3 linked regions of the Drosophila melanogaster genome follow. The protein of the gene in region 2 interacts with the protein of the main gene of each other region in a pairwise test. Each region holds a gene or a part of one and is shown on either strand. Other genes may lie near its edges.

Region 1 (3,756 bases), 300 kb from region 2:
GCCCTCTGTTTGCACATTTGGCACGTTTCAATTTCGCAGCGATTGCCGAACTGCATGCAAATTGCAACTGAATCCCACTTTTTTTTTGTACGTTTACTACTTTGCATATGGCAAAGAAACTGGGAAAGCACTTTCATCTGATGATCGACTGTATGGATAGACATCGGAGTGAGAAATAGTCAATTACGAAAATGATTTTCGTGAGTAATTATTAAATAAGCTGCAATTTCAGGTAGGCAGGCTGACTATAAACCATCGCTTATAGTGAAACGTGAGCGGAATTTAAAAAGGAAAGTAATTTACAAAATGTTTACAAATATATTGAGTATTGGTTAGAATAATTGGTTGCCGTTATTAGCATGTTTATAATAAGCGTGAACGAAAATAACGATTTTTAAACAAAATCGTTTCGTTGAAAATCAAAGTATAAATCTCTTGAAAAATATTGCATTCAATTCAATTAATCTTTTGCTGAAAGTGTAAACGGAAAAACACGTCTTCTGCTAGTAAAACTACAATTTTATTTCGCAGATCATTTCCCTTTTTTTTCGGATCAAACAAGAGTATATTCAGATCTAAAAAATGAATTGGAAGATGAGCAATGCGTTTACTCCTGCCTCAAATCGAAGCTGTCACTTGTCAGTGGCACGCGTTGCAGGAACGGAAATCGGAAAGTTCGCCCGGACTTTGGCTGTGACTCCAATTAAGCAGCTGGCGAACAGGTGAAACAGGTGAGACCCAGCAGAAGTTGTCATAACTGCCGTGGACACATTTCCATCGCCATCACCATCGTCCCTTTTTCTTCTGTCTTTTCCGCATTTATCCAGACTTATTGCTGCATTGCAAACAATACGAGGGCCATGTTGTAAATCCCCCAACAATTGTCTGCCTCCAGTTCGTTTTGTAACCTTTCGTTGCCCAGATTGCCCTCTCCTGTTTAAGGACGTTCCAAGAAAAAGCAGCCAGGGTTACCGATTAGGAATGTATGGCCATTGTGCATGTGAACTAATAACGCATTTGTATGTTTGCTTTTGAAAATGGCGAGTTAGCTTGAACGTGAACTCATCCGAAGGAACATTCGCTCAATGCAAATAAAACCCAATTTTGCTGAAATGAGCATTTTTTTTTTTTTTTTTGGTGAATCGTATGGGCATGTGGACCGATTCCAAGAATCAATTTACATGGCCATTCTCGTTTGGTCAAAGGAATAGGTGTCATAGGTTGATATTAAATGGAAATGCAGCATTGTAAGTGTGGCAATAAATAATTCAATACACAGCACGGAGTGACTTTCATTTTAGTTGTTATACAAGTGAATTCCATTTAATAATTTCATTCGTGATAAATGATTAAGGTATTCTTATTTGGAATTGTTTGCCAAAAAACATTTGCATTTAAAATTGTATACGCGCACAAAAGAGGCATAACTTAAATATTGCAGTGGTTTTGCTGACTTTCAAACATCATTGTTTAATTTTAAGCGAGTATGATGTTTAAATGTCTTTAATCCTACCAAGTGATTCTGCAAAATACCTCCCAGCCTTTTGCCCCGATTGATCACCATAAATAGCCCACTCCACAATCTTATAAATGCCGAATATCTCAATTGTGCACCATAGCCAAGGCAATTTCAAAAGAATATGTAATTCGGTTTCCATTTGAATATTTACGTCTCGCTGCCGAGGGCTTTCTCAATTGATTTGTAATTCACTTTTGTGTCGAACAATTCCGCGTTGAGCTCTCCGTTTGCCAGGCCAGGGTTTTTCTTATCGCCGGGATTGGTTTGGCCGGATTTTGGATTTTGGATTTTGACACCGAAACGGAATGCTTAAGCAAACATTAAAATGCAAACGCACAGGACGAAGCGATAAGGCGGAAAGAACAAGAGACCTTAATCGGTGGTCAAAAGCGGGAAAAGTGCGCGCGTTGCTGGGAAAACTGATTCGAGGCTCCTGTCACACGATGCGATTAATGACGCGTTCAAAAGCTGGTGGCAAGCGGAATCCGGAGCTGAATTGAGCTGGCTGAAAAGCGCGTTGCGAGTGTGTGTGCCGCACGGCCGACTGAAATCGACTGACTACGCTCGGCTGCTGCCACGGCATTTAAGGCAGAGAGTGAAGTCGGAAAATGCGAGGAAAATTCGGAGGAAAAGCGAGAGAGCACGCCGCGATGACATCAAGTGAAAGCTCTGCCATTTGAATCGAGAGACGGCTGTTAGTCCAACGCCAATATAGTACGGCAGCGAAATAAATCAAATTGAATCTATGATTTCGTTTTTGTGCACTTCTTTTTTCTACTTCAGGACCCCAGGACTCCTTGGCGCAGCCTCCTCCTCCTCCGCCTCCTTCTCGAGTGGATCCTTCAAGTTGTTTGCCACCGGATTTCATTTGGCTGCGGCTCAATGAGCCGTCGATTCTGTTTGTTCGAGTGGCCGACGAGCGCTTTAATCGCCCATCCAAAGCCAAAACCAAAGCCGCCACTCGAGACAGCTGGCAGGTGGCAGATTTCAGGTGAAACCCGAAGGTTTCCAGGTGCCAGGCCATCAGGTGGTGCCAAAGCTGACAGGTGAGAATCTTGTTTAACTTCGGCTTCTGCTCATTATGCTCCTCCCGTTTTGGTCCGACTTGGCCGTTTGTGCGGATAATTGCCGCCTTCAATTTAAATTGCCAACGAGCTTGGCGCACCTAATTTTCGATTTCATTTAATTTGGCGCAAATCTCATTAGGGCAAAAACGTCGCCCAAGATAAATGGCAGTGTGTTCTTTTGTTTTTTTTTCTTGCTCTTCGTCCGAGGCATCGAATCGCAGATACTTTGACCTGTGCCTGGGGCACTGGCGTCTTTGACTTTCCCTGCTCCGTCCGGCATGCCAAGTCAGCGATTTATTTGGGCCAAACAATGGCGGGATAACCCAGCAAACATTCACTGGCCAACTGATAAGCGCCAATCTCTTGGCAAATGATAACACCGTTGGCCTGGCAGCGCAGGCGCGAGCTTTTCCACAAGAGAGAGATAACGATGGAGAGAGTGGAAAAGCCAGAGAGCTCTGCCAACTGATAAGAAAGCAGCAGACTTATGCTGCCTCTGCATCTGCGGCTTCAATTGTCTTTAATCGCTGCTCAAATGTCGATGATGTCCTGGGAAGTGTTCTGTGGGATGGGTTGGAAAATTGGAGAGCGGTTACCCCGGGGAGGAACTTTAACGAATTGTCATTGATTTCTTTTGAAATGGCACCGCTTTTGTTTGCCTTCGCTTCTGCCACATTAGGCAGCTGAGCAGGGGGGGGATTCTGCTCCTCTAACTCTGATTACTGCAGCTCTGCCTATCGGGGGCAATGATCACAGATTGAATTTGCTCCGGCGGCAGCCGGTCTTAAATAATTATGAGCGCGTTTAATTAATAAGTTTGCCAAGGCAGCAACAAAGACCTCGAAAAGGGTTCTTCCAGAAATATGCTGTTATTGTTTTTGCGGCCGGGAAGCAATTAAGACCGCCTAGCGCATTGTCTTCTCGGCCTCAGCCCCGTTTGACCCCAACTTTGTTATAAATTTGCCTTTGTGCGTGCTCTGAAAAATGACCAGCCCCTCAAATGTAGAAAAAAATAAATATATATATATAAAAACTGTCACACAAAGAGTTTGAAAAACCGAAAATGAAAAAGAGATAACTCAGATCCGAAAGGGGCAGGGACTGGGGTGCCGGAGCGGATTGCTTCCTTCCTGCCGGGGGACGCTCACTTTTGCCGGTCATTAAATTTTT
Region 2 (3,425 bases):
TTTACTATTTTCAGTCGGGTCCGGAGTTTGCGCAGATTGTGCTCAATGTTGGTAAACATCGCCCAGCTGTTTATCCTGATATGCAACTGGTGTGTTTCAGATTTTCCAAAGTACTGACACGAGATAAGAAAACTACTCATTCTTGAGATATATCTATATCTACCTCTTTGGAACTGAGCCAAGAAATTTGCACTGGTATACTGATACTGAAATAAAGTTTAAAATAAAACTTTCTGCACCCTTATTCCTTAATAGCACACCTTCCAACAATTAAATACTCATTACGTGATTTAGTTAGCCAACTTTTGGGGGTGGCTCATCTTTAGGGCTTCCCTCGAAAGTGAAAACCTCAAATAATTCTCGGGCTTGTCTGGCTCATGCGGCACCTTTTAACCCCACTGTTTGCAACGCAAAACATGAAACTCGTTTAGGTAATCAAAACCCCCCAGTGAAGACGTTTTAACAACCGATTTAACTGAACTCTGTGACCCCTTAGACGAACAAAAACGGATGGATTTACCACAAAGGATGACATGACAACATACTGGGGTCTTGTATGTGTTTATTTCGTGAGCTCGGAATTATCATTTGTGGAATCAAAGCGAAAATGTTTGTTCTTGTATGTATGTCAGTTAGCAGGGATGTGTTTGAAGAGTATATATTGTGTAAGGTTGAATCAGCTCCCTAACTGATTTCTAAACCTTTGCCTCGAGATCGGTAGAGATACTAGACATCGGGTTTGATTAGTGTTAGTTGAAGACGGCTAAATGGAAGCCGCATTCTCGTGATCATTGGTAGACAGCTGGCCGCCCTCTAAGGCACTGACAATCTCCTGACCGGATGCCTTGCTGGCAACACTTTTGTTGGGCTTCGGGTTGGGTGGCTCCGGATCTGTGCCACGTTCCATTTCATCGTGCTCATCCTTGACTGTCGGCTGAGGATCGGTATCGGGATCTTGGCTTACTGGTTGCAGTTCATGGACTTCTTCAGACTCGTTATCCTCTTTATTGGCATTGGTCTGCCCTAAAGCTGCGTTTTGGCGCTGGCTCTTCTGCCGGTTGAACAGTATCTTCCAGTAGGATGAAATGGATGTCTTAATCGTGGGCTTTGCATTCGGCAACGGCTTATCCTGCTCCACGGGTTCGACCACCGAGCTCGAAGGATCTTGAACATCTGGCAAGTGGGGTTTATGATTATTCAAGAAGAGCTCCTTTTAATTGTAAGTCATTAGGCAATCATTTTTTTTTCAACAAATCATATTTAATACCAGTCAAAAGAGCTTACCCTTATTGGCTCCCTTCATCCGGGTAAAGAAGCGACTTATAGTGTTTGACTTTCCCAGGTCCTTGTTGTCCTGGGAGGATGTCTCGTCGTCATCCTCCACTTGGTCGCGCATCATTGGCTTCTTGCTGATCTTAAAGAAGCGCTTCAAGGAATTGGACTTTGGAGCGGGGGCCACCTCGGGACCTTCCACAGACAGGCCCTCGGGGTCGGCAAGCGGAATATCTTGCAGACTGGACATCTTCGTCCAATATGTCCACCGAAATTTTATCGAATTTTATTTACAATAAAATATGGCTCGGTTTTGTACGAAATATAAGATTAATGTGACTGGTGTTGTTGAATTGAACACCAGATGCAAAGTGTCAGAAAATCCAGAGTCAACTAGTTCTTGTCACCTTTTATGAAAAGTAGAATTCAGTTAAGTGAGTTTAAAAAGGATTTTACAGCCTTATAAGTTTGAGATTGGTACTTTACATATATATTGTAATTTTAACAACTCATGTAGATAAAAACAATATCAATTTCGATTTCTGCTGCCACGTTTTTTTGCATTTTCCTTGGCAATTTGGCTACGTTTGGTTAACATGTGTTAACAACGACATCGAAACAGGTTTCAAATTGATACGACTTTGATTTCATTTTCTCCCGCAATCGAACTGTTTCCCGGCCAGGACAAAGCCAAACTGGACTGAAGCCTGCAGCCCCAGAAAAAAGAGCTGAAATGAAAGCCAAAGGCAATTCATTCAATACGTGCACACAATACCCCTTGTTATGCTACTGCTGCTGCTGCCCCATTGTCTCAAATGTTCGAACTTCGAAGTCCGTCGTCCGTTGTCCGCCGTCCGCTGTCCAGTTAGTGCTGCAGTGTTCCGTTTCTGAGATGGGGCCCACCAACAAAGTGCTTTCGCAAAATCAATTGAAGAGCTGGTGGCGATTCCTGCTGTCGACACTGCGCCATCCCTACGTCTCTGGCCCGATCCCTTTCCGTGGTCCTGGTCCTGGAATCGAGGTCCGTTAATTTATGTAGTTATGTATTGCCGGTTGGTTGGCCAGGATACCCGAAACAATGGACAATTGCTGCGGCACTTGCAGCATGCTATTGTCTGGCGAAGGTGTTGAAATTCTGAAAAACAGATATACATTATCGTACCAATTTGAAAGCCATTAAAATTCATCAATTACTTACTATAAGAGTGCAATACCGTGCATCAGAAGAAGACCAACGAATGGTGAATGAAAACAACGTTTAAAACATTATACATGTATCTTGTTTAACGGTAGTAGATACTTCATATGTTTGCCCTTTAATTTGGCAGTTTTCATAACCCTTGAAGTGATTGCTCGTGTCCTTCATTTATTTATGTCCAACCCCCGATCTTTGATAAAAAGTTAATGAAAAAACCCCACGCCGCCAACAACAAAGGGACATCAATAAATCATCAGTAATAAAAGTATAAGGGAAATGAACAAGGATAATGCAAGGCAATCCTTTTGCCCGCCGCCAACAGCTGCTCACCCACTCCGCTGAAAAGTGTGAAAATGTCAGCGGCGACGGGGAGCTAACCCCAACTGCACCACCTCCCCCTCCGGCTATTATGCTCGCCCATTTGTAGAGTGGGCGCCATATAATGGCCAAAACGGAAATGTTGTTTGCAGCCAATTCATTGCCAACACACAGTTGCGAAACGGCAAATAACAAACAACAAACAGCATAAACACCCCCTGCAGGCTTACGCAGGAGCAACACCATCGCGCTGGATGGGAGTTGGTGGCGGCGCAGGGATCCAACTGTGGTGCAGTGTTGCGGTGGGGCAGTGGGAACAATGGCATCAGCAGCGGCAGAAACAGCAGAAGCTGCAACTGCAGACCGCAAAATGTGTTGCCACAACCCTCGGGGCAAACGAAGCTGGAGCAGGAGCCGCATCTCTTGGACCGGAGTTGTAGATGGAAACTCATAAGTTGGTCGTCTGGCAGACAAATCCTCGGAGCAAGTGCATTCATTCATTGGCAATAACAATCAAACTGCTGTTGGCAGTACACAATCCCTTTCCCTGCCCATCTCTGGATGCCATTCAACTTGTTTGCCCTGCTGCTGTTGCTGTTGTCGGCAGCACAAGCGAAAGCAACAACAACATGCTACA
Region 3 (3,736 bases), on a different chromosome or scaffold from region 2:
TCAATTAAAAGCGACATTTAAATTAGATTAAAAATGGCAATGTATAATTTGTTTCAAAGAATAACTATGTATGCCACAGGCCACACACACTAACCTGCTCGCATTTTCTCACACCCTTTGAATCCTTCTTAATCTCCAGTCGGAGAGCAAACAAAAAGCAAAAGCAATCTTTCCTTTGTGCCACGTCTCGAAAGTCTGAAGAGATCCTTGCCAGCACAGCCTATTTGCTGCTGTTTGCTCCTTTTGAGGACCTTTGCTTTTTCGAGGGTAAACGCTGCAGTGCCAGAGGTGGAGAACTTTGCAAGACTGAATAAAAGTCGGCCTAAAGTCTTATTGTTTTCTGGTTTTTATCTGAAAGCTGCTGCTGCTGCTGCCTCAGCTCTGTCATTCGAGGTCCTGTGAAGTTGGCGATTATTGTTGCAAACTTAGTTGACAACTTGCCTGCTCGTCCTGCCATCTGCACCGCCCACTTATCGCCACCACCGCCCACCCCAAGGCCATGCAGATGATGGGCCGCCAAGCGTAATAAGGCCGAAGCCCAGGGAAAGAGGAAGTCTAGTGAAAATAAACAGTCGGACAGCCAAGTTGGGCATAGTTGAGCTTCTCGGCATCTCAGCTTCGCAGTCTTGCAGTTTCCCAGTTTCCCACTCTCACAGTTTTTCAGTTTCCCAGTTCATAGTTTGCCTGTTGTCTCCCCATTGTCCTGGCCATTCTTTATTTTTCAGTCCTTCCACTCCGGCTCTATATTATTATTATGTCTTGGCCCGGACTGCACAAAGTTTTGCCATTCTCTAACGACTTTGAATTTTTAATAATACCCCGCTGGAGCTTAACAATTTTGCCATCGTTCGGTTGTAGCGGCTAAGCTTTGTTACCAATTTAATGCATTTCTTGGTTGACGGAAATTGAATATCCGTTAAGATATATTAACAATTTATGCCGCCCTGATTGCCGACCCCCAATGCGGGTGCGGAATGAGGAGATCTATGCCTTTTTTGCAGTAAAATTGAAAACGAAACGAAACGGAACCAAAGCACACAGATACTATACACGAACGAACGGTAGCTGTGGCAAGAGAGCAGTCATCATCAGGGCCATAATGAGCAAGTCAATAGCCGGGCGGGCCAGCAGCAAAGGGAAAAGTCGAGGGGAAAGCCAGGCAATCGATGACGGAGCAAGGAAAATGCCGGCTGCCAGCAGTCATGCAGCGACGTGCGATAAAAAGCAGATTGCAATTTGTTTTACTGATTTCCATGCTTTTGGCTTTATTTGCACGACGGAAACTTTCATTAACATCAAACAGAAACTGAAATTGAAGCAGTAATGGCATCGCCAGCACTCCAAAGGATACAGCCACGGGGAAAAGCTGGAAAAGCCGATCGAAATGCACTTAAATCATGGCAAGAATGAGATCTACGGCATGCTTAAGTGGCATTATATGTACATACATATGCGCATATACGAGAATGCCATTATTAAGTTGCATCCTTCATTTGCTCAATTTGGCCAGTTGACCAGCTGGCCATTTAATTGATACGGCAAAAGGTCAGGGTGATGGTAGACCCACTTGACACCTCACCAAATTCCAGAATTCTTTGGGCAAACATTTGAGCAACATAAATGCACAAGTCCTACCAACCAATTAGTTGGCAAATAATGGAGAGAAATGACTTTTCATCTCTCGACCGCAAACAAAGTCCTTTTGTATTCCACCCAGGACCTCCTGTTCTGAAATTTATGCACGGACTTGGGCCTGCAAGGATCTCGAGGAGTGGCGGACGACTCTTGTTTTGTGTTCCAAGTAATTTGAACAAATTTGCGAGACATTTTGTGGCCTCCGAGCAAATATTTCAGGCCAATGCTAACCACCCCATCATCATCATCATGGCTTGGGCAGGCCTTTTGCGGACAAAGGCCAATTAACTTAAATAATTAGCCAGAAGTTTTCGCCATCGGAGATGAATCTCAGCCTACGAGATGCTCAAGTAATTTCAATAAAATGTTATCATTCGGTTGCTGTCGAGTTGCCAGGGAAAATCCAATCAATTATCGCCCAAGGGAAGCAAATTCGTACAGAAAGTTAAAGGCCCAGGGAAATGGGAAACAAGCTGCGCCGCCAACCACAAAGAGTTGAAGTTGACGAGGAGGAGGTGAGATCCGACCGACCCCAGAAGAAGCCACCATCGTCATGGCCCTTCTGGCGCCTGGTCTACTGGCTGGGAGTCCTCATCATGGTCATCGGCATCGGTGTGGGCATGTACTTCACCCTCAAGTCGGACTTCGGTGAGTGCTCCTCCTACGACGTCCGTTGCGATTGAGTGCTCCTGGCGATATAGAAACTTCCACGGAAATGGCGGAATTCATTACCCATTGAACTTCAACTAATTTGAAGCAGCTTGGCCTGCGAAAGCAATTGTTCTACATTTAGCGAGAGTAAGTATGCCAGCAGATATTAAAGAAAACTATTTAAAATTATTTCCCAAATTAGATTTAATTAAAACTTATACACCAGTTATGTTTTCTTGTCGAAACATCAGTTTGATCTTTTTACTTTTTATCATCGCAGTCTACATTTGCCTGTTTGTTTTATATATACTCCACAGAGTTGGTGAAGATAATTAATATTGGGTTTGTAATATTATTTTTCATTTGCCTTGCAGTATAAACCAGCTTATCTTTTCGCAGATTCATATGTAAAGTTATTCATTTGTCTGTTCTCCTGTTTGAATTGTGATATGCTAAGCTTGGTTATATCACTATCAACTTACGTGCAGTCCAATACTTGTCATACATGAATTCTAGCAGCTGGATCTTAATTAAAGCCGGATGAAACAACCCACCCCACACTAGACCGCCTCCTTTATTGTTAACAATTACAAAAGCAAGGCCGAAGCCGCGCAATCTCCAGCAACACATGCAGATACATTTGTGCATGTAGACGTGTGTATTTGTGATGCTATTCAAACTTATTGGAGCGCTTCCTTTTGATGGCGTTCTGGTTGACTCTTCAATGGCGAAACACTTTTTAGTTGAATGAAGCTAGTGAATGCACATATTTTGGGTTGCATATAAAAAATCCTACGATTATTCACTGGCCCTATTTATTTTGGTGTTAATTAACGAAGTGGAGAATGGCATTCATTGATAAAAGTGTACAACGATTTTTATTTCACATATTTATGCTATTGCTGTAATTAAAATAACAATTTGAATTAAAACTCTAATTTTAATAAATAAACTAAAATTGCACACTTATGACGACACATTTTATTTAAATTACCAGCTTAGGAAGTTGATTGCTTCTACTAAACGAGACAAAAGTTATTTATTTCGGTGCGTTGGGGGTTTATCTTAAAACGACTTCTTATGAGAGGGGCCATCAGTCAAGGTCAAGCTTAACAAAGATTTGTCGGCAATTCGAGCTTTTATTTCTTTGACACTTGCCAGACTTCTTTCGTTCGCACACAGCAGGTGAAATATAAATAAACTTTTTAATGAACTTTAAGATTTATTGCCAGCAGCAGCCGCAGCAAGTCAAGTCTGACACTTTGTGGCTTTAAATTTTCGGACGGGAATGTGCTGTTTAGATAAATTATACAGCACAATATATCCCGAAGGCACTGGCTGGCTGACTGAATATTTTGAATGTGAAGAGCACCCTGCCCTGAACTAAATATTCTGCAAATAATTGCACTCGACATCGACTGAATAGACCTAGCCCACAAATAATATCTTA

The links.
Region 1: the proteins of CG5217 (region 2) and CG43732 interact in a two-hybrid assay, tested with the Drosophila melanogaster proteins (one large-scale study listed by BioGRID).
Region 3: the proteins of CG5217 (region 2) and CG17580 interact in a two-hybrid assay, tested with the Drosophila melanogaster proteins (one large-scale study listed by BioGRID).

Annotation. Positions count from the first base shown.
Region 1 is NT_033777.3:18,948,518-18,952,273, reverse strand, and holds the start of CG43732 (uncharacterized protein), read right to left. Parts: upstream 2,079-3,756; 5' UTR 1,671-2,078; intron 1-1,670.
Region 2 is NT_033777.3:19,246,506-19,249,930, forward strand, and holds CG5217 (uncharacterized protein), read right to left. Parts: upstream 1,632-3,425; 5' UTR 1,523-1,631; coding exon 1,285-1,522; intron 1,174-1,284; coding exon 764-1,173; 3' UTR 547-763; downstream 1-546.
Region 3 is NT_033778.4:12,804,602-12,808,337, forward strand, and holds CG17580 (uncharacterized protein), read left to right. Parts: upstream 1-2,012; 5' UTR 2,013-2,096; coding exon 2,097-2,318; 3' UTR 2,319-2,433; intron 2,434-2,488; 3' UTR 2,489-2,628; intron 2,629-2,685; 3' UTR 2,686-3,210; downstream 3,211-3,736.